4 linked regions of the Cricetulus griseus genome follow. Each later gene encodes a partner of the first gene's protein in a complex. Links are inferred from orthologs where the notes say so. Each region holds a gene or a part of one and is shown in the gene's direction. Other genes may lie near its edges.

Region 1 (7,633 bases):
GAGGCCAACCTGGTCTCCAGAGCGAGTGCCAGGACAGCCTCCAAAGCTACACAGAGAAACCCTGTCTCAAAAAACCAAAAAAAAAAGGCTCATCTTATCAGGTCTGGGCTTGACCATACTCTATGTGTTAGTGTGCTTCGAATTATCAGAGATGAAGACGAACAGCTCTCTCTGAGATGGGAAAATGGCAAGAACATCTCTCATCACCTTTCTATGCAATCAAGTAGCTGGGATGACATGCCCTTATCACACTACACCATGCTCGTGGTTTATTTTATTTAGGGTGAGACTTGGTATAAAATGCAAGATAACTAAAGTTGCAATTTGAATATCTTAGCATTCTAAAAGATCATGGTATAAGTGAGGCCTGGTGTTAAGGGGGGCTTGCCGCCCTTGAGCTGAGTGGCAGATTGTTGATAGAAGTCTGGGGCCCTGATTAATACCACCGTTTACTCCTAAGTATCTGTTTGACAATGTATTTGTCATGGTGAGAATGTTGATAGAACTTACAATTAACTTGATTAACTGATAAGAATTATTAAAACCTGTAATCCACTTGATTTGTAACAGAGTTACTAACCCTTCTGTAAAAGTGAGAAGTGGTAACAATGGCAAATTTGATTGCACCTTTAATTCCATATTTTGCTGCTCCTACCAGAGACCCTCTTTCAAGTTGCTATGCCCTTGTGGCGGTGCTGCCTTAGCCAGTGTACTGTAGTTCCAGTTTCCAGTAGACACTGAAGAGTCAGGCTAAGCTTGCATAATCAAGCACATGGCTTGAACAAACCTAGTTTTACTACGTTACATGCAAAAGATGGAGCAAAGATGTATTCTTTAATGTTTAAGTTTCTTTTCTCTTTTTTAAAGCCTACTGTTCACAGAAATACTAGCAATCTGTGGTGATATTTTATGATCTAATAAAGCTTGCCTGAAGATCAGAATGCAAAGCTAGTCACAGCCATAGAGGCCAGACAGTGGTGGCACACACCTTTAATCCTAGCAGCCACACTAGTTAGCCATAGAAGCTAGGCAGTGATGGTGCATGCCTTTAATCCCAGCACTAGAGAGGTATATAAGATAGGAGCACAGGGTCTCAGAGTGTATTCAGTCTGCAGTCTCAGTGAGTCTGTGCAGCAGTGTAGTCAGGGGCAGTCGGAGGAGCAGTGTGTTTGGAGAAGAAATCAGAGGACAGGATCGCCCCTTTGGTCTGATCACTGGTAGAGATGAGAACTCTCTAGTGGCTGGCGATTTGCTTCTCTGATCTTCAGCTTTAATCCCAATGTCCGTCTCTGGGTTTTTATTATTCACGCTACAGCAATCAGAGTTCAGACCTCTGTCATTGGTCATTGATTACTATGAAAATTATTAGTGCTGAATGGTCCTTATTTAATGTTTTAGTTTATAGCGGGACTTTTTTTTTTTTTTTAAAAACATGAAAATACTACATGCTCTTTCTTATTTTGTTAGACAAGGTCCTGTCTTGTACCCTATACTGGCCTTGAATTTGCAGTTCTCCTGCCTCAGCCTCCCAGATGCTTTTTTATTTTGTGTGTAGCCATTAGCGATAACTTGGGGTCATTTCTCTCTTTCCACCATATCCCTTGGATTGAACTCAAATTGTTGGGCTTGGTGGAAATTACCTTCACTTGATGAAGTGTCTTCACTGGCCCGGGTATTTTTTATACTTTTGATATTGATACACAGCGTCTTCTTCAGAGTTCATACTTGAGAACTACACAATCAAATTACAAAAGTTTCAGAAGGGACTAGCAAAATGGCTTAGCAGAGTGCTTGCTATGCAAATGTGAGGACCAGTGTTTGAATTCTCAGCATCCAGGAGTTGCCTACCTGCCTGTAATCCCAGAACTCTGAAGACAGAGGCAGACAATCCCTGGAATAGACTGCTTAGCTAGACTAGCCAAATCTGTGAGCTCTGGGTTTAAGTGAGAGATCCTTATGTATGTAAGCAAGAGAGTAATTGAAGAAGATAACTTACATCAACCTATGGCTCTACAAGCACAGGAATTTGAGGGGGCCATTCTCATTCAAGCCACCACATGTGGCAAGCACCTTTACACATGAAGCGGTCTTATGGCTTTTTGTTTTTTTGAGACTGGTTTCAGTATGTGGCCTTGGCTGCTGTTTTGGTGTTTGGCTTATAAACCACATGGACTTCAAATGTGTGGTGATTCTACTGCCTCTGCCTGCTCTGCTCCACCATGCCTGTCTAGTTGGGCTATTCTTGTACTTTCAGTCCTCCATCTGAATTTTAGAGTCAGCCACCCCCGAGATTGTGCTAACGAGCTGGGGGAAGGACTAGTCCTTCACAGCATTTGTCTTCTCGTCTGGGAGCATGGATAACCTTTTTATTTATTTACTTATTCTTGAGGTATTATTTCATGTCTTCCAGTAGAGTTTTAAATGCTTGAAGATTTTTCTTATGTTTAAAGTACTTTTATAGCTTTGTTGCTGTTAATAAGACTGTTTTTTGAGTCAGGGTCTCATATATGTGAGTTTGGCTTCAAACTCAACTTTGTAGTGAGGATGACCTTGACTCTGCTCTTTCTTCCTCTTGTGCTGAAATTACTGGCATGTGTATGCTACAACATCCGTTTTATGTAGTGCTGGGGCTCAAGCCCAGAGCTTTGTTCATGCTGGGCAAATCTTGTTTCCAATGGAGCTATATCCCCAGCCCGAGTTTCTTATTTTTAAATTAAAAGTTCATTTTCTTCTCCCAGCTCCCCCTCCTTCTGTGTGTGTGTGTGTGTGTGTGTGTGTGTGTGTGTGTGTTATACATGTTTGAGTGTTTGCTGTGGTCACTCTTAGGTGTTGGTCCTGGCTTTTACCTTGTTTGAAACAAGGTCTCCTGTTCTTTAGCTTGTCCCTGAACTTTGGGAAATTTTCCCTTCTCTGTCTTCTATCTTATCATAGGAATACTGGCATGTCAGATACATGCTATTGCATACAGCTCTACCTGGGTTTGGGGATCTGACCTCAGGTCAGGGTCTCATCCTTGCATGGCTGCACTTTACTCACTGGTCCATCTTCCTAACCATAAAAGCTAGTTTCTAATTGTTATTCCCAGTGTACATGAAAGTGTTGGTATTTAAATACCAATCTTGTATCATACTAGTATGTTTAGCTGTTATGACTTTTGATAATATGTGGTGTTAATATTTATATATTGATTTTATGTCTGACTAATGCATTGAGTTCTTTTATTAGTTCTGATATTGTAACCAAGTATTGATATTTATACTTTGATTTTATATAATAGTCTGAGTTCTGTTATTCAGATGTGTCACTTTGTAATTATCAGTTGATACTCTCCCATTTTCAGATAGAAAACATCACATTATGGGTTGTCTGATTTTAAAGCCATGAGAATACTTAATGAAAGTAGATTCTTTCCCAAATAAAGGTAATAGAACATTTCTGAGATGGGAAATATTTATTATTGGGGGTTTAATGTGTGATCTTTTCATTACAGATATGGCATAAGGTATTTCTTCAAGATTGGACAGCTGGTGTGACCTGCTATTTCTGGTAGCCTTAAGCTGACTTTATAGCCATAGAGAAACCTCACAGAATTGCATTGTTATTTTCTGCTTTACAACATCTTTGGCGCCTAAGTTCACCCTGCAACCATGTATGGAAGTGCTCGATCAGTAGGGAAAGTGGAACCAAGCAGCCAGAGTCCTGGGCGATCACCGAGGCTTCCTCGATCTCCTCGATTAGGTCATCGGCGAACAAATAGTACAGGAGGGAGTTCTGGAAACAGTGTTGGAGGTGGCAGTGGGAAAACCCTTTCAATGGAGAATATACAGTCCTTAAATGCTGCCTATGCTACATCTGGCCCTATGTATCTAAGTGACCATGAAAACATGGGTTCAGAAACACCTAAAAGCACCATGACACTTGGCCGTTCTGGGGGACGCCTGCCTTATGGTGTTAGGATGACTGCGATGGGCAGTAGCCCCAATATAGCAAGCAGCGGGGTTGCTAGCGATACCATAGCATTTGGAGAACATCACCTCCCTCCTGTTAGTATGGCATCCACTGTACCTCACTCTCTTCGTCAGGCAAGAGATAACACCATCATGGATCTGCAGACACAGCTAAAGGAAGTATTAAGAGAAAATGATCTCTTGAGGAAGGATGTGGAAGTAAAGGAAAGCAAATTAAGTTCTTCGATGAATAGCATCAAGACCTTTTGGAGTCCAGAGCTGAAGAAAGAGCGAGCCTTGAGAAAAGATGAAGCTTCCAAAATCACCATTTGGAAGGAGCAGTACCGAGTTGTGCAGGAAGAAAACCAGGTTAGTTTCATTTGTACATTTATCTTTATGGGCTGAATCCACGTATATAAATAAAACAAGGAATTCTCTTCCCTTCCTGTCTTAGATTTCCCCCATCTTTGTTCCTTTATTTTTTATTTCTCCTTTTTACTTCAGAATTCTATTCCTACTTTCTTAGTCTTTTTTAGATTTGGTCCTGTACATGTTCCACAGGTATGTTCAAGCAAAACTCACATACACCTAAATTAAAACAAACAGAATCTTACACCAAACATTGGTGGCGCACGCCTTTAATCCCAACATTTGGGAGGCAGAGGCAGTCGAATCTCTGTGAGTTCTAGAGCAGCCTGGTCTACAAGAGCTAGTTCCAGGACAGCCTCCAAAGCCACAGAGAAACCCTGTCTTGAAAAACCAAATAAAATTTTTTTTTTTTTTTTTTGAGTACTGCCTTGGCTACATAGTGAATTCAGGGCTATCTTGGGGCTGTATTGTGAGACATTATCTCAAAATTAAAACCAACCCAACACAGGACAGCTATATGTTCAGTGGAAGAGCAGTTTCCTAGCATGTAGAAGAGATTCTTGGACCTGTCTTGCTGCCTTCAGATTGTTCAGAGTGCTTCAAGGTTGCAATTTCATGAGTCATCAACTATATTGGAGTGGACTTTTTGATGACACTTGAGTTACATTTGAGTCATCTCTGCCCCTGTAAGGAACCCCTCACACATATATTTGTAAGTAACCTTAACACAAAAAGATTCACTGGTTCACTAAAATAAATGAATAAAAGGTTCAATATGTTTTTAAATAATTAAAGACAATTCAGCATTCCTCCCCCACTTCCGTATGTAGCTTAGGCTGGCTTGGAGCTCTTCTGCCTCCACCCCCTAAATGCTAGATTTATGTTAGCTTGCCTGACCACCAGCCTTTTCAAGAGTAGATTCGTTGTCTCTCAGTCTGTCTCTCTCTTAGTATATAAATTTAAAGCAGATTTGGTGTTAACCAAAGATACTGTTATTGAATTGCCTACTCATCAATGTACCTTTCTGAAAATGTAATGGCCAGTAAGGTAGTTTTATTGTCAAATGACTTGGAAATGTCTAATTTATTGAGGAAAAAAGTTATTAGGCATGTTTTTTCTTATGTCTGTGCTTTAGGGTATGGGACTTGGTAGAGAAATCCAGTGCAGTACCCTTTCTCCAATTATTACACTACATTCAAAGGCAAAATATTGAATCTTTTGAGAAGACAATTATGGGTACTTACAATTTTTCTGGAAAAGAAACAGTCCACAGGTTTTTCATGCCAAGAAAACCATTATGTGCTGAAGAGGGTGAGCACCGCCTTATCTGGTCCACCCCGTGCCCTAATTAAATACCAGTGCACACCAGTGCTGGCAGAGACATTCTTCCCGAACCACTGTAATTACCACAGAGTTCTAAAATTGTGTAACATCGGTCCAAAAAACAAAGGGTGCAATTTTAAAGACAGTACAGTGAGATACAGAGACTGAGAATGCTAATTAATAGATTATAGTCAGCTAGCAGTGGGCCCCTAATTAAATAGTGCATTCATTATCTTCTTCGTAGCTCCCAGAGGTCAGACATCTTTCATTTGTGAAGAAGACTGGTTTATTAGACTTTATAGCAATTAAATACATTTCTGTATTTCAGTTTGAGGCTGGGGATTTTGGTCCATTTTAAATGTTTGATCTGATTGCGCTGGGTCCAGAATCTTAACAGTATAAAAACATATTTGCTTAGGAGTGCCTGCTGTGCCTAGTTGATTATTAATGGCATTTTCACAGAATCTTATTTCTGAAATAAAAATTATCAGATATTTTTATATCTTAGACTCCTTTTGTTGCTTTACTTTCAGATAGCTTGTGATTGGAGAGTTAGGAATGAGAGAGAGTGTGTGAGTGTGTGTCATGTGTGTTTTGATAGAGAAGTTCTTCTAAAAAATGATGACTAAGGAAGACTGTAGTGTAAACTTGATGGATAAGAATGAAATCTTCCTGTGAGCTTTATGCAATCACAGAACTAGTGAGAAGCTTTTGGATAAGTTACATTTTAGATGTTATTTTAGTTAGCTATTGCACTTCTTTTTTTTAAATAAAAGGTTGTTTATTTATGTATATGAGACTTTGTCTGTATGTAAGCCTGCACACCAGAAGAGGGTATTAGATCCCATTAGACATGGTTGTAAGCCACTGTGTTGCTGCTGGAATGGAACTAAGGACCTCTTGAAGAGTAGAACAGCCAGTGTTCTTAGCCACCAAGCTATCTCTGCAGCCCTTTGTACTACTTTCTTGATTATGCCTTGTAAGAGTTCGGTGTGTTGAATTTAGTTGGATGCTTATTTTAAAAACAGTTGCCGGGCGTTGGTGGTGCACGCCTTTAATCCCAGCACTCGGGAGGCAGAGGCAGGCGGATCTCTGTGAGTTCGAGACCAGCCTGGTCTACAAGAGCTAGTTCCAGGACAGCCTCCAAAGCCACAGAGAAACCCTGTCTAAAAAACCAAAAAAAAAAAAAAAAAAAAAAAAAAAAAAGTTAAAAATAGTTATTTGGTGGTAGAGGAGATGGCTCAGTTGGTAAAAGGCAAGTGTGAGGACCTGAGTTTGATCCCTGTATCCCATGTAACAACTGGACATGGTGATATGCACCTGTAATTCCAACACAGAAGGAGATGGGGGATCCCTACAGCTTGCTACCCAGCTAGTCTGGTGGCATCCACAGCTCCAGGTTTAAAGAGAGATGCAGTCTCAAAAAATTAAGGTGGAGAGTGATTCTGGAAGACATCTGACATCAAGTCTTAGCTTCTATACAAACTCATGGATATGTGCTTGCATACTTGCATACTCACCTACACACACACACACACACACACACACACAGAGAGAGAGAGAGAGAGAGAGAGAGAGAGAGAGAGGAAAGAGAGAGATTATTTTAATGCTCTTTCACTGAAAGTTTGAACAGAATATTCTGTTTAATATTGTAGGATGGCAAGTGAAGTAAGTGCCTTTATTTTTTATGATTTTTGCTTAAATTGTGTGTGTGTGTGTGTGTGTGTGTGTGTGTGTCTGTGTGTCTGTGTGTGTGTGTCTGCCTGTCTAGATATGAATGTGCCATGGTGCATGTGTCAAAGGACAACTTTTTTTTTTCCTGAGACAGGGTTTCTCTGTTTAACAGCCCTGGATGTCCTGGAACTCACTTTGTAATCCAGGTTGGTCTTGAACTCACAGAGATCCACCTGCCTCTGCCTCCCGAGTACTGGGGTTAAAGGTGTATTCCACCACCACCTGGGCAGAGGACAATTTTTGGGAGCTGGTTTTCTTCT
Region 2 (8,134 bases), on another chromosome or scaffold:
TAGCCAGGGCTACATAGTGAGACTATGTCTCAAGAAAAAAAAACACTAATAAAGGAAGGAAGGAAGGAAGGAAGGAAGGAAGGAAGGAAGGAAGTGGCCATGGTCCTAGAGAGCTGAGGCTCAAGTCTTGGATTCTACACTTTATTATCTACTGGGGGCAATGCATTTGATTTCTGATCTCTCTGAGTGTCATATGTCTAGAAGAGCATAGGAGAACTTGTGGGTGCAGGATTCTTTGGATGTTGTTCTGCAAATGTGACTTCTGTATGTGTATGTACATGTGTCGTCCTCAGGAATGCCTTCCACCTTGTTCTCCAGCTGAACTTGGGACTTGTCTATTTTAGACTGGCTGGCCAGTGAGCCCCAGGGATCCTATGTCTCCACTTCCTCAGGCTGGGATTACAAGGATGCACTGCCACATCCTTTTTTTGTTTGTTTGTTTGTTTTGTTTTGTTTTGTTTGTTTGTTTGTTTGTTTGTTTTGTGGGAGTCCTGAGGATGGAACTCATGTCCTCACCCTTGTTCAGCAAGTCCTTTACTGACTGAGTTTCCTTTTCAGCCCCAAATTTGGTTCCATTATCACTCCATCCAGAGGTATCTGTGTTCTCAGATCAACCCAAACAGACCAAATTCCCAACAAGGAAAAGCAGGCTTACTCTTGAGCACGGTTTCAATAAATTGTCCAATCCAGGCAGAAGGAACTGCATCAGGACTTAAGACTCTCAGGCTATGGACCTTTTTGTTTCAGCAGCTCATTGGACCTGACTCCTCAGCTGTGGAATAAGAAGCCACATGTTGTGGTGACTGGTTATCCTCAAACACTTGTGAGATTTATCAGGAGTTCAAGGCTAGCCTCCGCTGCATAGTGAATTTGCAGCCAGCCTGGGCTACATGAAACCATTTCTCAAAAACGGAGTGCTAGAAGGGTGGGGCTGGAGAGATGGTTCAGTGGTTAAGGGCATTACTGGCGCCTGCATGGCAGCTTGCAACTATATGTAACTCCAGTTCCATGGGCTCCAACAAACACTTATGGTCTCTGCATGCATCAAACATGCACACAGTACACATATATGCATTCAGGCAAACATCACCCAAACACATGACATAAAGATCAATAAAAAGAGGGACCTGAGGTGATGGTATGTGTGATAGCATATACCTGTCATCCCAGCGCTTGTGAGGCTGAGACGGAAGCATGGAGAGCTGTACACTAGCCTGTCTCAGAGAGCCCTTGCCTCTAAAATAAAATGCAGGCCAGTGAGATGGTTCAGCAGGCAAGGGCACTTGCTACCAAGCCTTATGACCTAAATTTGATCCTTGGGACTCACGTGGTTGAAAGAGGGAAATGGCTACTGCATGTTGTCCTCTGGCCTCTATTCAAGTTGAGTCATGTACTTATGCAGACGTACTCTTAGACACATAGATACACACAACATAAACAAATAAATGGGATAAAAATCCAAACAAACAAACAAAACACCTTGAATGTCAGCCATGTCTCTGTGATTCAGAGGGGGCAATGGTCCTGTAGTCTCTGTTCCTCACAGCCATCTCTGCAGATATATGGTCTATAGTGAATGGGTGCAAAGCATCAGGAGCCGAGATTTCCACAGCCAGAAAGCTTGGGAAAACTCTTGAGCATTAGCAAGCAGTGGGATGGGATCTTCTCCGTGCAGCTCTATGAAGACCCCCCCCCCTCTCTCTCCAAGCGATCTCACTATCCCTGGCTGCCTGGCTGGTTTGGAACTCAGTATGTAGACCAGGTGGGCCTGGAACTCACAGAGATCACCTTGCCTCTGCTTCCTGAATGCTGGGAATAAAGGCTTGCAGCATCAAGACTGGCTGGCTTTTTATTTTATGTGGGTTCGGGCAGTGGAATGGAGGTTCTCATACTTGCAAGGGTGGCTGAGCCCTTAAATTTTGTGTTTTGTTTTTACATTTGCTTACTCATTTGTGTGTGTGTGTGTGTGTGTGTGTGTGTGTGTGTGTGTGTGTGTGTGTGCATGTGTGTGCATGCATGAGAGTCACAAGGCGTGTACAGGTCAGAGGATAACATTCAGGACCACGTGGGTTCCTAGAACTGCATCTATTTAATGCAGTTCTTCTGGGTCTCAGAGATCGAACTCAGTCGTCAGGGTTGACGGCAGTCGCCTTTGTATTTTTAGAGACAGGGACTCCAACTCGAAGCAATCCTCCTGCCTCAGACTTCTGAAGGCTAGGCCATAAGCTCCAGGCAGGCACCTTGCCCGGTCTCTGTCATCATTTTTCGGTCCTGCAGATGGCCCGGCGCGACTCGGAGACTCAGCAGAACTCTTGGGTCTGAGAGTGGGCGTTCGGGTGACGTCAGCGCACGCGCTGGAGTGACAGCACGGAAAACAGCAGGACTGAAAACTGCGCGCACTTGCCATAGTTCTTTACCTGTGAATCCACCGGTGGGCGGGGCTTGGCCTGGCTCGGGGGCGGAGTGGAGGGTGCGGCTAAAGAGAGAAATAGCCAATTGACGTTCGGGAAAGGCCGCCCTCCCACTACCGCGGAGCTGGCGCATGCGCATAGCTCCGTGGCCGTCTCTCCCTCAGGGGGCGGTGCTGACGCTCGCGCCGACGCGCCGGACGTCAGGCACGTTGACGCCGGCGACGCGCCGGGCCCGGTCCTCTGCGCTCGCCAGTGTCCCGCGGCGGCGGGCCGGCCTTCGTGACGAGCGGGGCGGCGGACCCGGGGGCCGGGCGAGGACGCAGCTGCGGGGCTGCGTGGGTCGGCCCGCAGCCGGCCGCCGCCCGAAGGCTGCCGCGTAGCCCCGGAGCCGCGCCCGCCGGCCAAGGTAAGGGCGGGCGGAGCGGGCCGCGCAGGGTGGCGGGCCGGGGTCGGCGGGGCCGAGTCGGCGGGGTCAGCGGGAGGTGGTCAGCGGGAGGGGGGTCAGCAAGATTGGGATTAGCCTGGCCGAGCCGGGGTCAGCCAAGGCGGGTTGATATCAGTTAGGTCTGAGTCAGCTTAAATTGGCCAGGGTCAGCGAGGTTGGGGGCAGTGAGACTGGGGTCAATTGAGCCAGGCAGGACCAGCGGAGTCCTCGATGGCAGGATCATCCCGGCATGATCAGGTGCACCTGCAGGACATCCCCTTCATCCCCCGCCCTGTGCCCTGGCAATCTCTAGTGCCATCTCACCTTTCTCTTCTCCTTCTTTATTATCTAGTCTTGCTGTCCCGACTTCCTAGATTCTCAGTGTGGAAACTCTCTCTTTTCTTTTGCCCCCTCTTTGACTGTAAACTTATGTAAGTTAGCTTGGCTGACCAACCGTTGCACAGCAGCAGGCCTTTGCAAAAACACCTCTGTCCAGGCCTTAAAGAGCCAATCCAGTTGCTTTTTCCGCTGCTCACCAAATATCCAGCCCCACAAGTCAGGGAGCCCGGCAGTCCTTCCCAGGAGCTGACTGCACACATTCCTGGAAGATGCCTTGGTCCATAGCGCTGGTGCTTGTCAGTTCTCAGCCGTCTTCTGGTGTTGAGGGAATATGTTTTGAATGTCTCTTCCTGGAGAAGAACAAAATAAGTTAACAGAAGCCCACTGTCTTCAGCTGCTGAGAGTGCGGATTTTCAACAGACTCCGCTGATTTGCCCTGGGTGGGAGAGGTGAGCATTCCAGCTCCCCTTGCTCCTGGGACTGTGGCATCCATCTCCCAGTCTGCTCTTCCTGTTGGTCCGTGCATGCTACTTGCCATAGTGTGTGCATCCAAGGTGAGCAGCTCTGACAGTGTGGGACTTGTCAGCATTTGCTCATCAGCCACAGGTGGTGCTCGGAAAGCTGCAGGCTTGTTCTGCACCTACTGACTATTGTCTGCATCTTTCCTGTTTCAAGATGATGTGCGAGGTGATGCCGACCATTAGTGAAGCGGAAGGCCCCCCAGGAGGAGGTGGAAGCCGTGGGTCAGGCTCCCCTTCACAGCCAGATGCTGATTCACATTTTGAGCAGCTCATGGTCTCCATGCTGGAAGAACGAGACCGCCTTCTGGACACTCTGAGAGAGACACAAGAAACACTGGCGTTAACCCAGGGGAAATTGCATGAGGTTGGTCATGAAAGAGATTCCTTGCAGAGGCAGCTCAACACTGCGCTTCCACAGGTATGCCAACCAAACTGAAACCAAGGTGTCTGCCACTAAATGTCTGTGGGATGATCTTGTTAATGTGTTAGCTTGCTGACTGTTTTGTGTAACCACTAGGAAAGTGATGTTTCTGGTGGGTTTTTGTTTTGTTTTGTTTTGTTTTTGTTTTTCGAGACAGAGTTTCTCTGTGTAGCTTTGGAGCCTATCCTGGCACTCGCTCTGGAGACCAGGCTGGCCTTGAACTCACAGAGATCCACCTGCCTTTGGCTCCCAAGTGCTGGAATTAAAGGCATGCGCCACCAACGCCCGGTTTCTGGTGTTTTCTAAGCACAGGTAAAATTCCCATGGAATTCAGTTTGGGAATAAATGGGTATTCTCCAAAGCCATGTGACCACACTGCTGCACTGTTGTGCCTTTTTGGGTAACTGCCTAGATTTGGGAATGTGTTTCAGAGTTGGGTTTTTGTTGTTGCTGTTTTGTTTGGTTTGGTTTCTCTGTGTAGCCTAGGCTTACCTAGAACTCACACTGTAGACCAGGATGGCCTTGAACTCAGAGATCAGCCTGTCTCTGCCTCCTCAGTGCTGGGATTAAAGGTATGCACCACCAGAGTACCTGGCTATGCTTTGACTGGGGCTGTGAAGCAATGAGCTATGTAGTGTCTCCCATTCTGTGTCTTAGACTTGTCCATGCCTGCTGTGGACCTGTGAGGAGTGGATCTCTGGGATTTTATGTCTTAATCCTGGTTTGTGTCTTGTGGATTTCCAATTTCCTGAGGAAATCTTGTGGATAACTAGGACTGATTCCATTGGTAAAGTCTTCAGAGGCTTTCTTGAACATTACAAGAGCTGTAATGAAACTTTGTTTCAGGGGAGAAATGATTGAACATTGAATCCCAAGGCTCCTCCTCTTCCTGGGTAGATGAGACTTTCAGAGCTTGAAACACCTTGTGTATCTTTAGTATTACATCTGAATTGGTGTGCTAGAGCCTTCTCTTCCAGAGTCAGTGGTAGGGGAAGGAGAAAGTGGGATAGCCTGCAAAACCCAAGGTGAAAGGCACATGGAACAGGGGTTGCTTAGCTTTGTGCTGACGAGCCCACTTTGTTCATTCGTGATCGGTATCTTCATGGTGCTCAAGGAAGCTGCACTTATGCTCTCACGGTGGGGTTGCAGAGATCAGTTCGCAAGTGAATAATCACTGCCTTGATGCATCTCTTGGCTGTAGTCATTTCTGTAAGATTGGACTAAACGTTTGAATGTCCTTTTTAGAAACAATTTGGTATTAGTGTTGTGTGCTGGGAGTTTTTGTTTGGGGGCTAGAGAATCATTTCTTCCTGGAGTCTTAGGAATTAGCAGGTTAATTAGGTCAGATTTTGTTGTCACGTGTTGAAGAGGTTTTTAAGATGCTGTGAGTTCCAATTGCTCTGCTTTGCAATTGTGTTTGTTGCAGCAGTGTTTGGCCAACGCTTAGGTTTTTGGAAAGAACAGGCACTGGGGTCACAGAACTGACCGTGTTGTGGGCAGTGTGGGTTTCAGGCAGCAAGCATGGAACTTGCTAGGGAGCCTGTTGCCAGGTGAAGCTGGCTGCTGCTCTGCAGTGCCTCATTGAATTAGGACATGCTGGTATCCACAGTTATGTCAGAGCTGACCTGAGTCTAGTGTTATAGAGTAAACTTATTTCAGACCATTCCCTTCCTGGAATCAGGGTCCTCTGATGGCTAAAAATGTGACCAGACGGGCCTATGTGTCCAGTCAGTGTCCTTACAATGGAGAATGCATGAGGATCCACAGGTCACAAGTATGTGCCTTTGCTAGCTGTTCAGTTATGCTCATGGAGCTCTGCTTGGATCAAGAGATGGACAGGACCATACCTCCTATGAAAACCCCCTCCTACTGCCTGCAATCAGTGACTGTTCCCTATTCTTAGGTGGCCCAGTTCTTCACTATTGGTTCCTTTGCATATGCTTGACTTTCTTTAGGAATTGTGTATGTTTTGTTTTGACTCTTCCCTGGACTCTGTGAGACCCACCTTTGCTTTCACCGAAGTGTGCTGTGTAGATGGGCCCTACTTGTTCTTGATGCAGTTAGGACCCCTGAGGCTGCCACTGTCTTAAACTTCCCAGGCTGCCTTTGCATTTGGGGAGGTGCAGAACTAGATGTGTGTGTTTCTGCTGGAGTATTCTAAAGAGTGGAATTGTAGTGACAGCAGCCTCAGGAATTACTGCCAAAAGTGGCTGTGGTGACAGTTGGTACAACCACACGGCCACCAGCAGTATGAGAGGCCATTGTTATGTACTCCAAAGTTCGAAGTGGAGAGGTGGACTGCAGCCACCTGCAGTGCAGGGACCCTTTTTTTGTTTGTTAATTGGATTGTCTGTTTCTAATTTGAAGTTCTTTATACATTCTGAGTGCATAACTGTATAGAAGAGTTTTTGTTTTTGTTTGTTTGTTTGTTTTGGGACAGGGGCTTTCTACATAGCCGTGGCTGTCTTGGAATTCACTATGTAAGTCAGGCTGGCCCCAAACTCATAGAAATTGGCCTGCTTCTGCCTCCTAAGTACTAGGATTAAGGACATGCACAACCATGCCTGGCTAGATTTTTTTTAATTAATTTTTTTGTGTATGAGTACAGGTTGGTGTGTATTCTTGTATGTACATATGTTTTTATGCAGGTGCTCATACACTTATGCACAGATGTGCTGAAGCCATGTTGGGTGTCTTCCTTGACTGCTCTCAACCTTACTAGTTTTTTAGTATTTATTTTATCTTGTGTGTATGTGTATGTGTGCCTGAGTGTTTGTATGTGTACCATACATAGAGATAAGAATTGGATTCTCTGGAGCTGGAGTTCCAGACAGTTGTGAACTACCATGTGGGTGTTGGAAACTGAAACTGGTCCTCTACAAGAGCAACATGTACTCTTACCCATATGTTTAATCATCTTTCCAGCCCTTCTCTACCTTACAGACATGGCTGCCACACCTGGCTTTTATGTGGGTACTTGTGTACTTTAACCACCGAGCCATCTTCCCAGCTTGGAAGGTTGTTTTTATACTCTTGTGTTTGTCTCTTCACTCCAGTAGTATTGCATCTATATGTAGATACAAATGTTCACATACATCCATATATACAGGTCTTGCCATGTAGCCCAGGCTAGCCTATACCTTTGATAATCCTGCCTTAGCCTCTCAAGTGCTGGAATTTCAGGTGCCTACCATATCCAGCTCAGTTGTATCTTTTTATGAGGAAAAGTTTTAAATTTTAATGTAGTTCAATTGATTGACTCCCCTCCCCCCAAGAATATTTTTGGTTGTGAGTCTATCCTTTAATAGGTGAGCCATCTCTCCAGCCCAAGAATATTTAATTTAGGGGCTAGAGAGATGGTTCAGTGGTTAAGAGCACTAGCTGCTATTCCAGAGGACCTGGGTTCTATTCCCAGAACCCACATAGATACTCATAGTTTTCTGTAACTCCAGTTTCGGGAGATCTGATGCCCTCCTCTGATCTCCACGGACACCAGACACACAGGTGGCACATAGACATACATGCAGGCAAAATATCCATACACATAAAAATAAGTAATTTAAAAAAAAAAAGAGTATTTCATGTGGGCCAGGCTGATGGTATACACCTTTAATTCCAGCACCCAGAAAACAGAGGCAGATGGATCTCAATGAGTTTGAGGCCAGTCTAGTCTGTGTAGTGAGTTCTAGGCTAGGCAGGGCTACATAGTGAACTGTTTCTTAAAACAAAACAAAACAAAAAAAACCCAAAATAATAAATACTGTGTTCTGATTAGGAAATGCTAGTCTTGGGCTGGGGTATGTCTTAGTGATAGAGAGGATGGTGGTTCTTCTGCTCTCTTTGCCATTTTTACACAAATACCACAGTGTCTGGGTGATTACAGATGTTGTCTTGAGATCTGATATTTTAAGTTCTTTACCTTTTTCTTTAAGATTTTCTTAATCTGGCTCATAAAATCTGCTTGGGCCAGAGAGAAGCTCAGTGGGTTAAAGCGCTTGCCCCATAAGCCTGATAGCCT
Region 3 (7,633 bases), about 22 Mb from region 1:
TTCCTTCTGAGACGATCTGTGTAGACACAGGCACCAGAGTCAACTTACTGTTAATTCTAATTATCATTGTTTCTGTTGTCAGAACTTCAAGTCTGCAAAAATCCAGCAGCCTGGGTAACCTGAAGAGAGAGACATCAGATGGCTTAGTGAGTTTTCTGGGGGTGGTTGTGTTTTGTTTTGTTTTTTCCCCCTTTTTCCTTTTCCCTTGCTACCCTGAGAAGAAAATATTGAGGAAAGAATCTTTACTTACACACGGAAAAATTCATTTTAGGAAGAACTTGTGGTTTCTCTGATGGGAAATTACTACCTCGGTACAGTTAATAGATATTGAGAATGAATATCAAAGACTAAAAGTACATAAATGAAAGGTTGGGACAAATAAAACATTGTAGGAAATAAATACAACTAAGATTTTGTGGTTTAAAAATGATGTAAATGGCTTCCTATTTATAGAAGTGTATATGACAACTGAATGTCTAAAAGATTTTATAGTAGCCTTCCTTAAATGTCATTGTTTTTGAACAGGAAAAGGAGTCTATCCAGAAGCCTGCAGAGGTAATTTTTATATCTGAGTTGATGTATAAAAATCTTTTAAATTTTGTGACTTGTATATTGAGTAAATGGCCCCACTCCAGGAGACCAAGGCTGTCAGTCTCCAAAGCATTGTTTGAGGTACAGAAAGACACCTGGGAAGGTCATGTGTGTGTGCCTGTACTTGAGTGAAGTGTGCAGCATGAATATGTCCTCAGAGAAGGCTGCAGAGTGGTGGCTATAGCTGGGGAAAGAGGGTAGAAAAGGAGAAGCTGAGGGGCTTTGGCTTTGGGATGGTGGCGGTGTTTGGGGAGTAGATGGGGTAGTAATGATTCAGAGAAGTGCTAAATGCCATTGAGTTATTTACTTTAAAATGTTAATTTTTAGCCAGGTGGTGGTAGTGTGTGCCTTTAATCCCTTTAGGAATTTGAGGCCAGTCTGGTCTACAGAGTTAGTTCCAGTGTAGACAAAGAAACTATGTCTCCAAAAACAACAACAGCAACAAAAAAGTCAGTGGAGAGATGGCTCAGTGGTTAAGAGCAGTGGCTGCTTCTCAGAGGTCCTGAGTTCAATTCGTAGAGACCACAGAGTGGTTTGCAGCCCTCTGTAACTACAGGCCCATGGGATTCAGTGCTCTCTTGTGGTGTGCAGGTGTCCATACAGATAAAAGAGCCATATACTAAAATGCATGCATACATAAAATATAATGATAAATTTTTCGGCCAAGTCGCCTGAGCCCTGCCGCCACGTGGGCACCCCAAATAACACACAGTCTTACATTAATTACAGTGCTGCTGGCCAATGACTAGGATTTCTTATCTGCTATCTCTGTCTTAAGTATCAACCATAATTATTAATCTATATATTTTATAAAGCCTTATCTGATCGAGGACGCCAGTGGCATGCATCCTCTCTTGTCGGGCTCACATGGTGGCTCCCAGAGAAGAGAGGAGGAGGAAGATTGTGATTTCTTGCTTGTCCCTGCTTATAATCTGAGTCTTTCTGCTATGTCACTTCCTGCCTGGATCACAAGAATTCCCTTTACTGCATTTCCCAGACTCATCCTCGACTCCTAGTCCTGCCTAACTTGCTTCCCTATTGGTCAACAGTGCTTTATTTATCAACCAGTAAGACAAACATATACACAGAAGGACTTCCCTCATCATAAATATTTTTACGTTAATTTTTTCTAAGCAGAAGCAGGTGGATCTCTGTGAGTCTATAGAGTGAGACCCTGTCTGAAAAAAAAAGTTAATTATGAATTCTGAACCCATCACCCAGCTCGCAAACTCCAATGGTCCCAACACCCTTTTCTGATCTATACGCACGCAGGCACGCACGCACGCACGCAGGCACGCACGCACGCACGCATGGGCTTCCAACTTGGTGGTTGAAAGAGTCCACTTCCAGCGTTAGGAGGGTGGGACAATCATGTAAAATACAGAAAACTTTTCCAGAAGGTTCCATCTATTTAACAGAATTTTAGCTGCCCACTAGAGAGCTCTGCTGTTCACTTCACAACTGCTGCTCAGAGCCTGGACACACTAGGACAGCAGAGCAGAGTGTACCAGGCTTTCTTTTTGGGGCCACCAACCAGCTCAAGTCACAATACCGAGACTTATTATTAGCTTTGAATGCTCAGTCTTAGCTCAGATCCTTTCTGGATAGCTCTTTTAACTTAAACTAACCCGTTTCTCTTTATCTACCTTTTACCTTGGGCTGTTCACCTTTCGTACTTCTGGGTACCTATGTTCACTGCTTCTCCATGTCTGTCTGTCTTCTGCCCTGGACATCTCCCTCGTTCTATTCTTCTTCTTCTCTCATTCTTTTTTTTTTTTTTTTTTTTTTCTGAGCCTAGCTTTCTCTTCCCATTTATTCTCTTTGTCAGCCAGCCCAGCCTATACTTTCTCGTGCCTGGTTTTGGCCTTTCAGCTTTTTATTAGGCCAATCAGGTGCCTTAGGCGGGCAAAGTGAAACAAATGCAACACATCTTTTCATAATTAAACAAATGCAGCAGAAAAAATGCAACGCATCTTTGCTCAGTTAAAATAATATTTCACAGCAGCAGAAGCCTGTGAGGATCTTTGTGGAAGCTGGAAACTATGGGAAGGACCATCCTGAGGGCTCAGCTGAGGGCTACACTTGAAACTATAGACCAGTCTCAGCATGGTGGTTAGTTTGTCTCATCCAGTGCTGACTCAGTTGTAACATGCAAAGATTGAGATCCATAAGCAGCTGAGTTACATAAAAATTAGTTAGCTCCTGGTTTGTTTCCTTTTTCAAATATTTTTCATTTATATGCTTTTATATGTAATATATGTATATATTGTATATATATTTGGTTCTCTGGATTTTCCAAATGCCCTTTGTTTCCCAAACCATTGCTGAAGTAATCAGGGAACTGGAAATGATACAGATTATTACTTCAAAAGACTCCTCACGGCACTCAGAGCCCAGAGGCTGGCAGACCATGGTCTCAAGACCAGCTGCAAGTTTACCCAAGTTATATTGCAACTCATTATGCCTATTTATTTACATACTGCCTAAAGTGATTTCACACAACAGTGAAATTTTCACACAACGGTGGCTGTGTGGAGTAACTGTGATGGAGACTGTATGATTCACAAGTCAGAAATACACATTTCCTAGATGGATTTCAAAAACAATTCAGAGAACAGAAACGTGTCCATGAAATATCAGCATGTATCAAGCTATAAATGTGTCATTTAGTGGCATCCAGAGGTGGTAAAACTGTAAAGAAAATAGATGGAATAAGAACCACAGACTTCGACAGAATTTCTAAAAGATAGGGGCTGGGAGTATTGCTTGAAAATGGGATAATGAAGGAGCTTCAAGTGATACGTAAGACTTAAATTATTCTTGGGGGCTGGAGAGATGGCTCAGTGGTAAATTGTGCACTCTGTAAGCCTGAGGACCTGAGTTTAGATCCCCAGCAACTACATAAAAACTGGGCATGGAAACACATGCCTGTCATCCCAGTGCTGAGAGACTGTGGGGACAGGAGTTTCCCTGGGAGTTGTCACCTTGTCTCATCAGTCACTGAGCTCCAGGTTCAGTGAGACTCCATCTCAAAAAATGCAGTGAAGAGAAATAAAAGACACCCAACCTTCAGCCTCCATATACACATGTGAACTCATGTACCTGACATACATACACTGGGACATACAGAGCTTATGTGTAGAACAAGTGCAGACTGCTATTCTGTGGTCTCAGACTTTGACCAGGGCATAAGTATTGGGTAGACATAAAATGAATGTTTTGGGGGGAAAAAGAAGAATGAGGAGGTTAATTTTGGGCAGTTGAGATGGCTCCAGGAGTGAAGGCATTTTGCCATCAAGCCCCATGGCCTAGGTTAAATCCCCAGGGTATTCATGCAGGAAGGCAAGAACAATTCCCACAAGTTGTTGCTGACCTCCACACATGCATGTTGTAGCACATGCACTCCCACACATGTACATAGGCACACATACACATAAGAAATAAATATTTTTTTAGAAGGTCACTGTTGCAGGATCCTGACGGGCATCCCGTGACATTGGAGGAAAGTAGGTGTGGCACCAATACAGGCATTGGGAACAACAAGCTCAGTTTATCCCAGGGAGGGGAGAGTTTTATATACCCCTCAACCTGCCCCAGGGGAGGAGCTGGCATCTGCTGATGTGACTTGGTCACTGTCCAAAGTCCACGTCATCTCTCATCAGACTCGGCTGCTGTTGTCAAGGCCAACTGGCAGACCCAGGCTGGGGGTCAGGAAATACCAACTGCGAATGCTCTAGGCCAGCTGTCAGGCCCATTGAGGCTTAGTTTTCCCACAGTTCACCTCTATATGTTATTAGAAAACTGACCTGTGGATGTTAGTTGGGTGCTTTGATCATCTGTGTGACCAGTTGTTTGTCTCACACACAGCCCTTGTCCATAGGAGCAAGCATGGCATTCTAAGCAGGTCGTCAGCCTGTGTCCCAGGTCTTCCCCTGGGTTCCGATCATCAACCACATTAAGGCCTGCAGTAGGGTGCAAGGCCAGTTCCACCTGACTGTCAGCTCTGAGCGCCTGAGTCCTTCAGATACGGAACCAGCAGTCAGTGGAGACAGCTGTCACTCAGGTCCTTTTCAACCCTTGGTTCAATAAATGATCAAAGGACTTATCAGTGTTGACGTAGCTAATGACTGTGTTGTGCATATAGACTTTCGGTTAATGCAGTCGGTCATCTCTTTGACCCTCTCACCAACTGTGCAAAGAAAAGCAGAGAACAGGAGGTGTTAGAAAAGAAAGGCAAGCAGAAGTGTCTCTCGGTGATACTAGAGCAGGGAGACACCCTTTATGAGCTCAGTGACTGACTCAGAGTCCGAAAAAAAAAAAAAAAAAAAACACCAGTGCCTGAATGTACCTTCCTCTTCTCATTCTTTGAGTGTAAAATGACTGAGTAGGCTCTCCTCGTTGTGTGTTAAGGCACTGCCTGCTTCGTAGACTTGCCTCAGGCTTCTGTCGCTGTGTGGTGATTTAAGGATGCAAACTCATTTATAGCTGTGCACCATAATTGCTAGAAAAGTAAGAATTTGCCAGACGGATTTGGTGCACACCTTTAATCCCAGCACTCGGGAGGCAGAAGCAGGCGGATCTCTGTGAGTTCAAGACTAACCTGGTCTACAAGAGCTAGTTCCAGGATAGGCTCCAAAGCTACACAGAGAAAGTCCTGGGTATGGAATATCTTCACTCCATGTCTTGAAGGAATGAGACAGATAGAACTTAATTGTTTTTAAAGCTGGCTTAAATACTTAAAGTAGCAAATGTCTTGATTGTGGCTGGAGTTAGAGGTGTTCATTGTGTTGCTGTTTATTGCCCAGGCTTCTTTAATATGTCACTTGGCGTTGGGCTCAGTGTGTTACTTCAGTTGTCTGTCCAGTGATGTGGCATTGATTTGAGTCCAACCTCCTGTCCTAGGGATAATGCACCCTAACACCCCATTACCTCTTCATCACCCCTCAGGATAAAGCTCCAACCGACAGCTGCACATTTGGGACCCTGCCTCCCAAGGTTCCAGGACATGATGTCTCCATGGATGACAACCCCTTTGGCACTCGAAAAGCCAGGTCCTCCTTTGGCCGAGGCTTTTTTAAAATCAAAAGTAACAAGAGGACAGCAAGTGCACCAAACCTTGGTAGGTATGGCAAGGGTACCTAGGTCCTGACCTTTCAGACAGAGGGAAAGGCTTGGTTCCACCCATCCTTTGTTCATCTGTGGATACATCTCTCTTTCTCAGACATGAAGGTGATTGCCTTCAGGGGGGATGTTAGCAAAAATGCTTCAGTGGATTTGATTTCCAAGTGTGATGATAAGTCAACTCTTACCCACTCTCTGTGCAGTGAGATAGACGGCAAAATGAGATCGTCCTGACCCTGTGGTGGTCTGTGACTTTGTTAGACAGTCTCCCTCTGTGGTGGTGGGATGAATGAGTCCCCACGGACGACCCTGTGCAGTCTGTGTAGTCTTGGTGCGTGCATGCGTGCGTCCCTCCTATGGGCATTTGCCTTGGAGGGAGGAGTCTGATCTGTTTTCATTTTGTCATCCCTGTGTTCTCTCCATTGGGCTGCATGTGTTGTGTGCGTTGTTGGGATTCCTGAAGATCGTAAACGAAGTGCCAGTGCACCTACCTTAGGTATTGTACCCCTGCATGCCAGCCTTCACCAGTGCTGCACTCTGAGTCCTCTTATCCCCACCCTTGACCTCTGTGATCTCTATCAAGCAAGCTGGCTGCAATCAGAAAACGTAGTCTGTTCCAAAGTATTCCTCCATCTTTGGTGAAAACAGACTCCACAAAGCCTTTGCTTCTGAGTCTACACGCTGTTTTAACCAGTGCTGTCGACACATTGTAAGCAGCCCGGAGAGGCCCTAGAAATGCCCAGCAGTCTGCGTGGTGCAGGGCTGGATTGAGCTGGCATCATACACCCAGCTCTACTCACACATGACTGAACCACCACCCACCAACCCTCTTTCCTCCTCCATGTGCTCATTTTCCCAACCCCTGCCCCTCCCCCCAGAATGTCCGTTGCCAGGCAGGAGCTGACTTACTGCTCTTGGAGGGACATTCTGGACATTATATTACTTGGGCGTTAGGAATATTTAGTGATGACAGCGGTGACTTCACATGGTGTCTGGGGAGTCGACATCAGAGTGCTTTTAAGAGAAGTCCATTCTGTCTCCCTGTGGGGAATAGTATGAAGAAAGCCTTCAAATAAAATAAAATAAAGAAGTACGTTGTGTTCTGAATGAGCTGGGCTAGGAACATTTTCAGGGTACCCATACCCCGTGGCTGTGGTATGAGAGTGCATAGATCCCCCTGGGTTTCCCCAAGGCTGTCACCTTGTATAGATACCAGATTGTTGACACACAAAGGGGCATCATTGTCTTTGGAGCCCGAAGTGTTTACAATGAGCGCTGGCTGCACAGACTAAACTCTTCTTCCAGTTGGACAACTACTCTCAGCTACTCCCATGTCCTTCTAGGGCAGTAGTCAATGCTTGTAGGCCAGTGCTGCTTATTGTAACCTGTCATCACAGCTCTGCTTCATAGAAAACTCAACTTCTGCAATTCCTGAGACTCCTTTCCTGATCTTTTTTTTTTTTTGAACAAGTGTTATTTTCCTTTATAAAATGTAAAATTTCGCCCTTTGGAAAACCACAGCCCCATCTTTGCCTGTGGCTGTTCTTCCAGGAATGGACAGTTGAAGGACCATGCATTGTGTATGTACAGAGGCCTGCAGTGGCCACTGTGGATGCTATTCTTTCAAAGCCAGATTAAGAAAGACCGATTTTATATCTAAAGAAAAACTCACACATACCTACCTAGTCATTGCTCTCTCCCATCCCATATATAATAATAGGCTAGGATTTTCCCCCTCTTGAGGCAGGGTCCCAACTATAGTCTGGTCTGAACTTGAGCTTGACATTTTCTTGCCTTGGCCTCCTGAGTGCTGGGATTCAATGGGAGTGCACCACCATACTGGTGATTCATTTCCTGAGAAAGAATCACAAGTCCTGTGTAACTGATGAGATCTAAATGGCAAAGGAGAAGGGTGTTAAGA
Region 4 (8,321 bases), on another chromosome or scaffold:
AGATTGCAAATTACAATTACAAAATAGAGAAAACGTATTGGTATGGAAATTCATCTTAGACTTTAAGCAGAGTGGTCACGAAGGCAAGAGCAAAGGAAGTGAAGGGCCAAGCTATACAGATACATGGAGTGGGGAGGGTTGGGGAGCTCGGTACAGATGGACTGTTGGGAGAGATCTCTAGGTACCTGTGGCGCTGAGTATGCCCATTTGGGCGTGGCCACAGGTGCATACGGGGCGTGTAGAACTGGATTCTCGGAGCACCAATCTTGGCAGATACACAGTCTCCGGGAATCAAATGCAGAGATATTGAGGAGGACTTAGTGTCAAGAACTAAGTGAGAGACGCATGAGGTAATGTTAGAGAAGGGTAGGTCAGCAATGTCTTTCTAGGCCACTGTTGCGGGCTACCCTACTCCGACACCCATTAGGGGAGGGTGAGAAGAAGCAGCACCAACAAGTCAGGCACCAGGGGTCACTCCTTAGCAGAACATGCTGTAGACTTGTTTATTAAGGAAGTTAGACCTGCCTTTATACCCCCTCCCAAGGTCCTATTGGCTCAGGCTGCTGACTCCTCTGTGTTGTCTTTTTTACATAGTTGTCTCTGGGTCAGGTGTCTCTTTGATAACATTCTCTGGGCATAGAGTCAGGCTTGGGTCAGGGAGAAAGTGCCTGCTGGGCATGGGGGGGTGGTGACTGCAGCTTGGGTAGGCTAGCCGCAGATTCTCCTAAAGGGCACCACATGGCTTTTGCCTGGACTGAATAGGGTCACAGTGGAATTATAAGGAAAGGAGTAGATTGTGTGGCCTAATGTTTTACAATGATCACCCTGGTGTCTGTGTTGACAATACTCTGTAAGAGAGCAAAGACAGAGCAAGGGTAAAGTCAAGACAGTATGGCAGATGAGATCTGAGATGGACAGTGAGGCAGAAAGTAGTTGAGTTCTGTTTTTGGTTTAGAAAAAGCAGAAAAGACTTCCTGATGGGTTGGAGAAAAATTAAGTTCAAGGCTGACATAAGGTTTTAGACCCCACATGGGGTGACTTCAGTTGGAAAAGAGTAGTTAGAAACAGGAAAACATTTCAAGGAATCAGTGTTGACAATGGTAACTATGAGGTCAGTAGGCATCCATCTGGGCAGCTGCCAGGGGCCTGAGATTCCAGGGAGTGGGTTGGTCTGGAGGTAAAATTTTCAAATAGTCAATACAGGCTGGGATTTAGTTCTATGGAGCAGAAAGACAGCACTACTGGAAGCAATAGATTGAAAATAGATCCCAAATTTAAACTCTGAGTACTCTTGGCTAGGCCAAAGGAAACAAGAATACAAAAAGGAACTACTGATCAACTGGTCATTGCTTCTAAGGAGTGAGATGAGCTTCTCCCAACTCCTTGGGGAAGAAATCAGAGCTTGAATTTGCTTATGCTGAATTACATGGCCAGCCATTGGTGGTACCCCCCACTCACACACACAACTGATCCCTCCCTTCCCATCTACACCCGCCTCCAGTACACCTGCAAAATCTATTCTATTGCCCCTTCCCAGGGAGATCCATGCATCTCCCATAGAGTCGTCCTCTTTGCCTAACCTCTCTGGAGCTGTGGGCTATAGTTTGATTATCATTTTTAACAGCTAATATTCACTTATGAGTGAGTACATACTATGTTTGTCTTTCTGGGTCTGGGTTACCTCACTCAGGGTGATTTTTGTTTTCTGGTTCCATCCATTTGCCTGCAAATGTTTTTGTTTTGTTTTGTTTTAGCATCTGAGTAATACTGCATTGTATAAATGTACCACATTTTCTTTATTCATTCATTGGTTGAGGACATCTAGGTTGTTTCCAGTTTCTGGCTATTATGAATAATGCTGCAATGAACATAGCTGAGCAAGTATCTCTGTGGTAGGATGGAGTGTCCTTTAGTTATGTGCCCAAGAGTGGCATCGCTGGATTTTATGGTAAATGGATTCACAGTTTTCTGAGGAACTGCCATTTTGGTTTCAATAGTCAGCCTTTGGTGTTTTGAGTCAGGTCTTCACTATGTATCTCAGGCTGGTCCCAACTTGTTATGAGGCCCAAGCTTGCCTGGAATTCTTGATCCTCTTGCATCAGCTTCTCAAGCGCTGGGATTATTGTCATGTTCCACCATACCTGTGAAGGAGCAATCTTTCATTTGAGTGGTTCAAGCTCAAGGGGACACAATAAAGGCAACTTCTGACTGGAGTGTGATAAGGCAGAAAGTGGAGACAGCGTTTCTCATTTCTTGAAGGTGTTTTGTTATACTTAAGCAGTAATATAATTGGAAGGTAAGCAGAATCAAGAATGTCTTTATTTTTATTGAGATTTGGTAAGGGATTTGAAGTTGATGGAGATGAGGGGAAGGACAGTGTGTAACTCGTGAATTTATTATTGTGGTGCAAATCCTACCGGGGTAGTGGGCGGAGAACACTCAAAAATGCAAACCATTTTTTATAGGAATGGCTACAGCAGAAATTACAAGTCAAACTTTAGGGGCTGGCAAGGTTGTTAATCTGCTAAGAGCTGTACCACTCTTGTAGAGGATCAAGTTTGGCTGTGAAAACCCACGTTGTTTCTGCCCCGCCCCCCTCCATTCACGTGCACATACAGGCACAAAAACACACATACATATACATAGTAAAATATATTTAATTTTAAAAGTCAGACTTTTACTTACACAAATGCAACATTTTAAATAAGCATTTTGTTACATGAGTTTACTCACAGCTCCAGGCATTTTGCATAGATGAAGCAGAGGCTGCCTTGCTGTGCACCAGCACCACCGGTACCTCTGTTGTACCAACCTTAGAGACATCCTTGCTGGTAGCAACTGTCCCAGGCTACGTTGCTATTAATTAAAGAGCTTGCTGGTCCTTGCGCTTTCCTTATGCTGTGCGTTCCTCCAGGGTTGTTGTCTTTCATCACTGTAACCCCACTGGGCCAGAACTTTGCAGGCAATCCCATCTGGGCGTGTCAAGATGGACTGTGGGTCGTCCTCCCCAGTCCATTTCCTAGCCTCCCAAGGAAGCAATAGTGAAAAAAGTCCACATTAGTATAGTTTTCACTGGTTATGTTAAATTTATGGAAAACATCGAACCGTTTATGAGACACCATTCCAAGGAAATCGGTGTCACAGAGTTTTAAAGTCTTCTCATTCCTGCCCTTACCCCAGGCGTCGCCCTGCTGTTTGGCACAACTGCTTTCCTGACGCATCAGGTAAACCTGCCCCGGGGAGAACAGTGTGTGGCAGAGGTGCGGTCCCCTGGAGTTTCCCAGAGCAGAAACTTCATCATGGGGAAGAAACCTCCACCCGAGGACGTGTGTTCTCCTGTCCCATTTCCACCTTCTTTTAAAAAAAGAAAAGAAAAGAAAAATCCAGTCACAAAGGTTTCTACTACATTGCTGCGAACACAGCTTTGAGAAGGTGGGGCAGGGTGATGAGTAGCCAGGCACTTCAGCAGCACTAAAAGCAGGAGCAACTTAGCTGCCTAGGAGCCGGAAGGCGCCCTGACTTCACAGCTGGAACTCCAAGGACCCGCTGCTGTGATTCGGGAGGGGGTCGGGACCAGGGACCGAGCTTGGTGGAGTCCACCATCGTGGTCCGAGGGGCGCCGCTGAGTGTGGCACGGAGCAAAGCGGTGTGTCTGCCTTAGGTGGCCACGGGCACCCAGCCGCCTCGTCACCCTAGGTGAGTAGAGGGCTACCGTGGTCCTGGAGGAGCGGACTGAGCTGCTTTTGCGAACCCTGGCGGCTGCCTGGGGACACAGCGTCCCCCGCACTCGAGTTGGTAGCCGCCGGTCGCGCTGGGGAGGTCGGGGGCGGAGAGGAGGCGGTGGCCGCCCCCACCGGGAGGGGCGCCCAGAGTGCGCGGTGCGCGGCCTCAGGGACTGGCTGGCTGCAAGGCTGTGGCGGCTGCGGCGGCTGCGGTGGCTGCGGGAACCCGGACTAGGACCGCAGGGAAGGAGGGCGGGAGCGAGGGCCAGGCCCAAGGGCAGCGGGACCTGTGAAGAAAGCTGCGACTACAGAGAAAGATGAGCTGGTGAGTGGGCGCCTTGGGCGCAGGTTTTCTTTGCGTCCCTTGCAGGCTGTAGGGACAAAAGCCTGGGCAGGGGTCTGGAGAGCCCGAACCGTACCACCCTAGGATACTCTGCCCTCCTTATGCATGACGATGTCGGGTAGAGGGCTCGTGGGGAAGGGGTGCTCAGTACGGTGACGCCTCTAGAGTGGTTGAGGCGAAAAGGCAGGATTTAATTAAGGGTCTCTAAGGCAACTTTCGCGGAAACTTGCTTAAGCAGAGATCTAGACCCCAGGAAAAGAGAAGGTCCACAGCTGGATCCTGAGGAATATGGGGTTCCGAGAGGATCTTTTTGAATTAGGCTTCTAGATGTACTTTGTTTCCAGAGTGAGGCTGCAGGGTGAGCCTCCGGACCCAGATTCTCACCAGGAGTCCTTGATTGCGATTCAGCTATAGTTTCCCTAAACGTAGATGGTATAGTGTTCCCTTCGCCCTTAGTGATGGCAGCTCCAAATCATGGGATCCTTTCGACCCTGTTTCACAAGCTCCCTACACTGCGAGGAGCAGTTGAACTGTTCTTGGTGCGCTCAGTAACTTTGCCCCAGCTATCAGCACTTGAAGCCCCAAGGACCTGGCTAACTCCCGCCACCACCAGGAAATTAAAAGGCTGACGGGCTGTCCCTTCCCGGATTGGGATTTCCTGTTTGGAAAAGCTTTACAATTCCAACCTCCTTCCAGCGGTTCCTCTTTTACCTTTCTCACTTAAAAGAGGGAAGACTCCTGCAGCCTTTTATGTGGACCGGCTAGGGCTGGAAATCCTTTAGCTCGGCCCAGCCCTCTTCCCTGGAAGTCTTCCTTTTGTGGTTCTGAAATAACTCGAGCTTTGGGATGCACAACTAGTCACAGCCCGGCGCAGCTGTGAGGGGTCTAGAAGAGACATAAAATGTGGAGTCCGTTAGTATAAATATCTGCCAGCCGCATTTCCTTCCAGAATATGAATGTGTAAGTTACAGATGTAAATTTTCAACTATGATGCTTGTAACTAGGCTCCCAACGTGGGCTTAATTTGGACGTTTGAGATTTTTTTCTTTGGGCTTCAAACGTTTGAATTTAGCTGGGAGCCTCCAAATATGGTTCACAGTTCCACAGGGTTAAACTTTTGCCCTTGGATCACTTGAATTCTTTGTTCCTGGTAGGATAGCAACAGAGTAGTTGGATTTGGGATAAATAAACCTTGAGAGTAGCCCACTATTTTAACAGAATATGCCTGGTGCCGTTGGCTTCAATTGTGTAAATATTTATTTGAATAAAGAGCTAAGATTCTCTGAAAAGTAGCAGTTGTATCTTTCGAGGTTCCCTTTTCCTATCTCGGACTTAGTTGTTTAAAAGGTTTTTATTTATTTATTTTTCCTGATAAATTCATTGTGTAACTTAAACATAACGCATAATTAAGAAACTCGGTACAGGGTCTCCAAACTTTGACAAAGGGAGGAGAGTTGAGTTTTTGCTTTCAGTTAATGTAGCTTTTACTCCTGAGGCAGGGAAGTTTGCAAATCCTAGCTCTCTCACAAACGGCAAAATGAGATGTTTGGTTAAGAGCCGTCATCATTGTCAATTTTCAGGCTGGTTCTCTGCAGCTGGCAGCTGCTGTTCTTTTGGGGTGAGAATGACTGCAGAGATGTCTGCTTGATCCTTTTGGGGCAAGCAAGAAATGCTAGATAAGAAGATAGGGAAAGGTTTAACAAATGTCTTCAACAACTCTGGCCAAAGTTAACTACTTTTGCAAGCATTCTCAGGAGACAGAAGAAAAAGCCAAAGTTGATTTGATCAGACTCTGGTTTTCACTCCTTTCATCAGTGTTGAAGACTCTAAGCATGATGGGTTGTGGAGTACAATGAAGAAATCAAGTCTGGGGTCTTGATTAGTTTTTGCATAATTTTTAAAAGCAGCTGGGGTTGTGGTTATGACAATTGACCCTACAGGATGCTAGATTGCAGACATTGGGAAAGAGGTAGTGCCACAGGTGACAGGGAAAGACAGGAGCTTAACACATTCCCCAAGAATACCTGTGCTTTATAATGTGTCGCTAAATCTCTCTGTGCTTACTTATTAGATGCAGGAATGCCATCCATTTGAAAAACAAACACCTTCTGAGTGATGCCTTAGAGCCCTGCAATGTATTTTAGCAGTAGTTCTCAGGAATAGGAGGTGGCATACAGTCTGAAGGGAATGCTGCACAGTGTATTTTGATTATCATAGCTGAGGATAGGAATATGCAACCAGAGTCCTTTGAATAGAGATCTGTTAAATACCCTGCAATGTCTAGAACACAAACAACTGTCTGGCCCAATCCCTGTTCTAGAGCATTTCCCCAGGTCAGCCAGATGTTAGCAAATTAGGAATCTTAATTTAATTTGGATCCTCACAAAATTTACTTAACTCTTGTTGCTCAACACAGACCATGTCCCAGAAGCCTTTTTACCTGCAGTGGATCCTCCTGTTCTCGGCATTAAGAGTCTTAATATACTGTTGGAATGGAAGAACTTGTTGGGTTTCCTTGATGCTTTTGAATTGGCTTAAAGTTGAGTTTAAACACAAGTGAGCCTGGGTGATCACTAAGCTCAGTTCTCACTTTATAGGTGATATGCCTATAAAAGACTAGTAAGACCTTGATCGAGTTAGTGAAAGACACCGCTCTAGTTAGAACCTGAGATTAGAGAATTTTATTGATGTTTAGGCAAGCCAGATTTAAAAACAAAATAACAAAAAAAAAAAAACCAAAAAAACAAAAAAAACAACTGGACTGGATCCTTTGTGAGAGTTTAGTAATACCATTCTTCATAAGAAAATACACTCCTGAATGAGGGCAATGATGTAAGCCTGGTTGACTATGGAACATATGTCTGGGTGTGTGTGACCTGTGACACCACTTCTGAGGCCTGCACTATCTTTTCCATGTCAAAGTAAGCAACAGATGGTCCTACAGACACAGCAGATGCTGCCTTTGAATGCAGGTACAAAACAGAGCATCTCAGCTTCTCCTCCTTTGCTCTCTGCTCTGTGTATCAGGATCAGAGCACATGAATGAATAGGGTTATCTTAGACAGAAGGGAAAAGGAGAAGCTCCTGAGTGTGTTGTGTGTGGGGGAAGATGCCTGGCATCTATGCAAATGAGCTTGCTTAGGAGCAATTGGTGGGTGGGTGGGTAGGTGGGAGAGATCTATAAACTGATGGATGGGTATATACAGCACATTCAATTGTATCAAGCTTAGATTAGAAATCTGAAGACAATTCAAGCTTGATTGTTTGGGGCAAGCTGGGCAAATTAATTCTGGGAGTAAAAGGAACCTTAGAAAATTTCCCAGGCTGGGATGTAACATGCTTGCCTGGCATGAATGAAGCCCTAGGTTTGGTTCCCAGAATCACAAAAGAAGCAGGGGCAGTGGTATATAATTACTGGAAGATTGGGAGTTCAAGGTCATACCAGACTACATGACAAGCTTAAAGCTAGCCTGGACCAAATCAGACCCTATCTCACACAAACAAACAAAATACTTGAGGTCTTATTTGCAGCTTGGTAGATTCCCATCTGTAACCTCATGATTGAAGAGGCAGAGGTAGGAGGATTGCTATGAGTTCAAGGCCAGCCTATTGTCTTAGTTACTGTTCCATTGCTGTGAAGAGACACCAGGACCACAGCTACTCTGATAAAAGAAAGCATTTAATTAGGGGGTTAGTTCATATCGTGGTGGGAAGGTGATAGGTAAGACACTTGGAGGAGTAGCTTCTCATCCTGATCTACAGGGAGAAGGCAGACAGAGAGAGAGAGAGAGAGAGAGAGAGAGAGAGAGAGAGAGAGAGAGAGAGACATACTGAACTTGGGATGTTCTTTTGAGACCTCAAAGCCCACCCCCAGCCGTACACCTCTTTCACCAAGGCTACATCTCCTAATCACTCCCAAGTTCATTTATATAGTGGGGATGGTTTCATTCACACCAGTGAGTACTATATCAGAGTGAGGCAACTTCTCAAAAAAAAAAAAAAATCACTTGTCTCAAACCATAGTTCCAAGCCTTACTCAGGACTTGGTAGTGACAGAACCAAACAAATTTTCTGACTTCTGCTTCACGATACAGCTTGCCCTGCATAGTTTCTACCATCCCATCTGCTTTCTTAATGTTAAAGATTTGGTAGCAATATAAAGTTATTATTAATTTCTTCCTAGAGTTTGATAGGTATGACATTACTGAATGGCTCCATTTCTAGAAAAGAATTACCTCAATGAGTTTTTTTTCATC

The links.
Region 2: Erc1 (region 1) and Ppfia1 share a complex: the UniProt entries of both Homo sapiens proteins name them as parts of the cortical microtubule stabilization complex. The link is inferred for Cricetulus griseus from reciprocal best matches to the Homo sapiens genes ERC1 and PPFIA1.
Region 3: Erc1 (region 1) and Ppfibp1 share a complex: the UniProt entries of both Homo sapiens proteins name them as parts of the cortical microtubule stabilization complex. The link is inferred for Cricetulus griseus from reciprocal best matches to the Homo sapiens genes ERC1 and PPFIBP1.
Region 4: Erc1 (region 1) and Phldb2 share a complex: the UniProt entries of both Homo sapiens proteins name them as parts of the cortical microtubule stabilization complex. The link is inferred for Cricetulus griseus from reciprocal best matches to the Homo sapiens genes ERC1 and PHLDB2.

What each region holds. Positions count from the first base shown.
Region 1 is NC_048601.1:25,025,713-25,033,345, forward strand, and holds part of Erc1 (ELKS/Rab6-interacting/CAST family member 1), read left to right. Parts: intron 1-3,490; 5' UTR 3,491-3,647; coding exon 3,648-4,316; intron 4,317-7,633. UniProt on the Homo sapiens protein: Regulatory subunit of the IKK complex. Probably recruits IkappaBalpha/NFKBIA to the complex. May be involved in the organization of the cytomatrix at the nerve terminals active zone (CAZ) which regulates neurotransmitter release.
Region 2 is NC_048596.1:56,800,485-56,808,618, forward strand, and holds the start of Ppfia1 (liprin-alpha-1), read left to right. Parts: upstream 1-2,615; 5' UTR 2,616-2,817; intron 2,818-3,705; exon of another isoform or gene 3,706-3,728; intron 3,729-3,849; coding exon 3,850-4,113; intron 4,114-8,134. UniProt on the Homo sapiens protein: May regulate the disassembly of focal adhesions. May localize receptor-like tyrosine phosphatases type 2A at specific sites on the plasma membrane, possibly regulating their interaction with the extracellular environment and their association with substrates.
Region 3 is NC_048601.1:2,691,664-2,699,296, reverse strand, and holds part of Ppfibp1 (liprin-beta-1), read left to right. Parts: intron 1-82; coding exon 83-146; intron 147-525; coding exon 526-555; intron 556-5,538; coding exon 5,539-5,710; intron 5,711-6,175; coding exon 6,176-6,208; intron 6,209-7,633. UniProt on the Homo sapiens protein: May regulate the disassembly of focal adhesions. Did not bind receptor-like tyrosine phosphatases type 2A.
Region 4 is NC_048597.1:44,755,041-44,763,361, forward strand, and holds the start of Phldb2 (pleckstrin homology-like domain family B member 2), read left to right. Parts: upstream 1-3,677; 5' UTR 3,678-3,696; exon of another isoform or gene 3,697-3,732; intron 3,733-3,862; exon of another isoform or gene 3,863-4,047; intron 4,048-8,321. UniProt on the Homo sapiens protein: Seems to be involved in the assembly of the postsynaptic apparatus. May play a role in acetyl-choline receptor (AChR) aggregation in the postsynaptic membrane.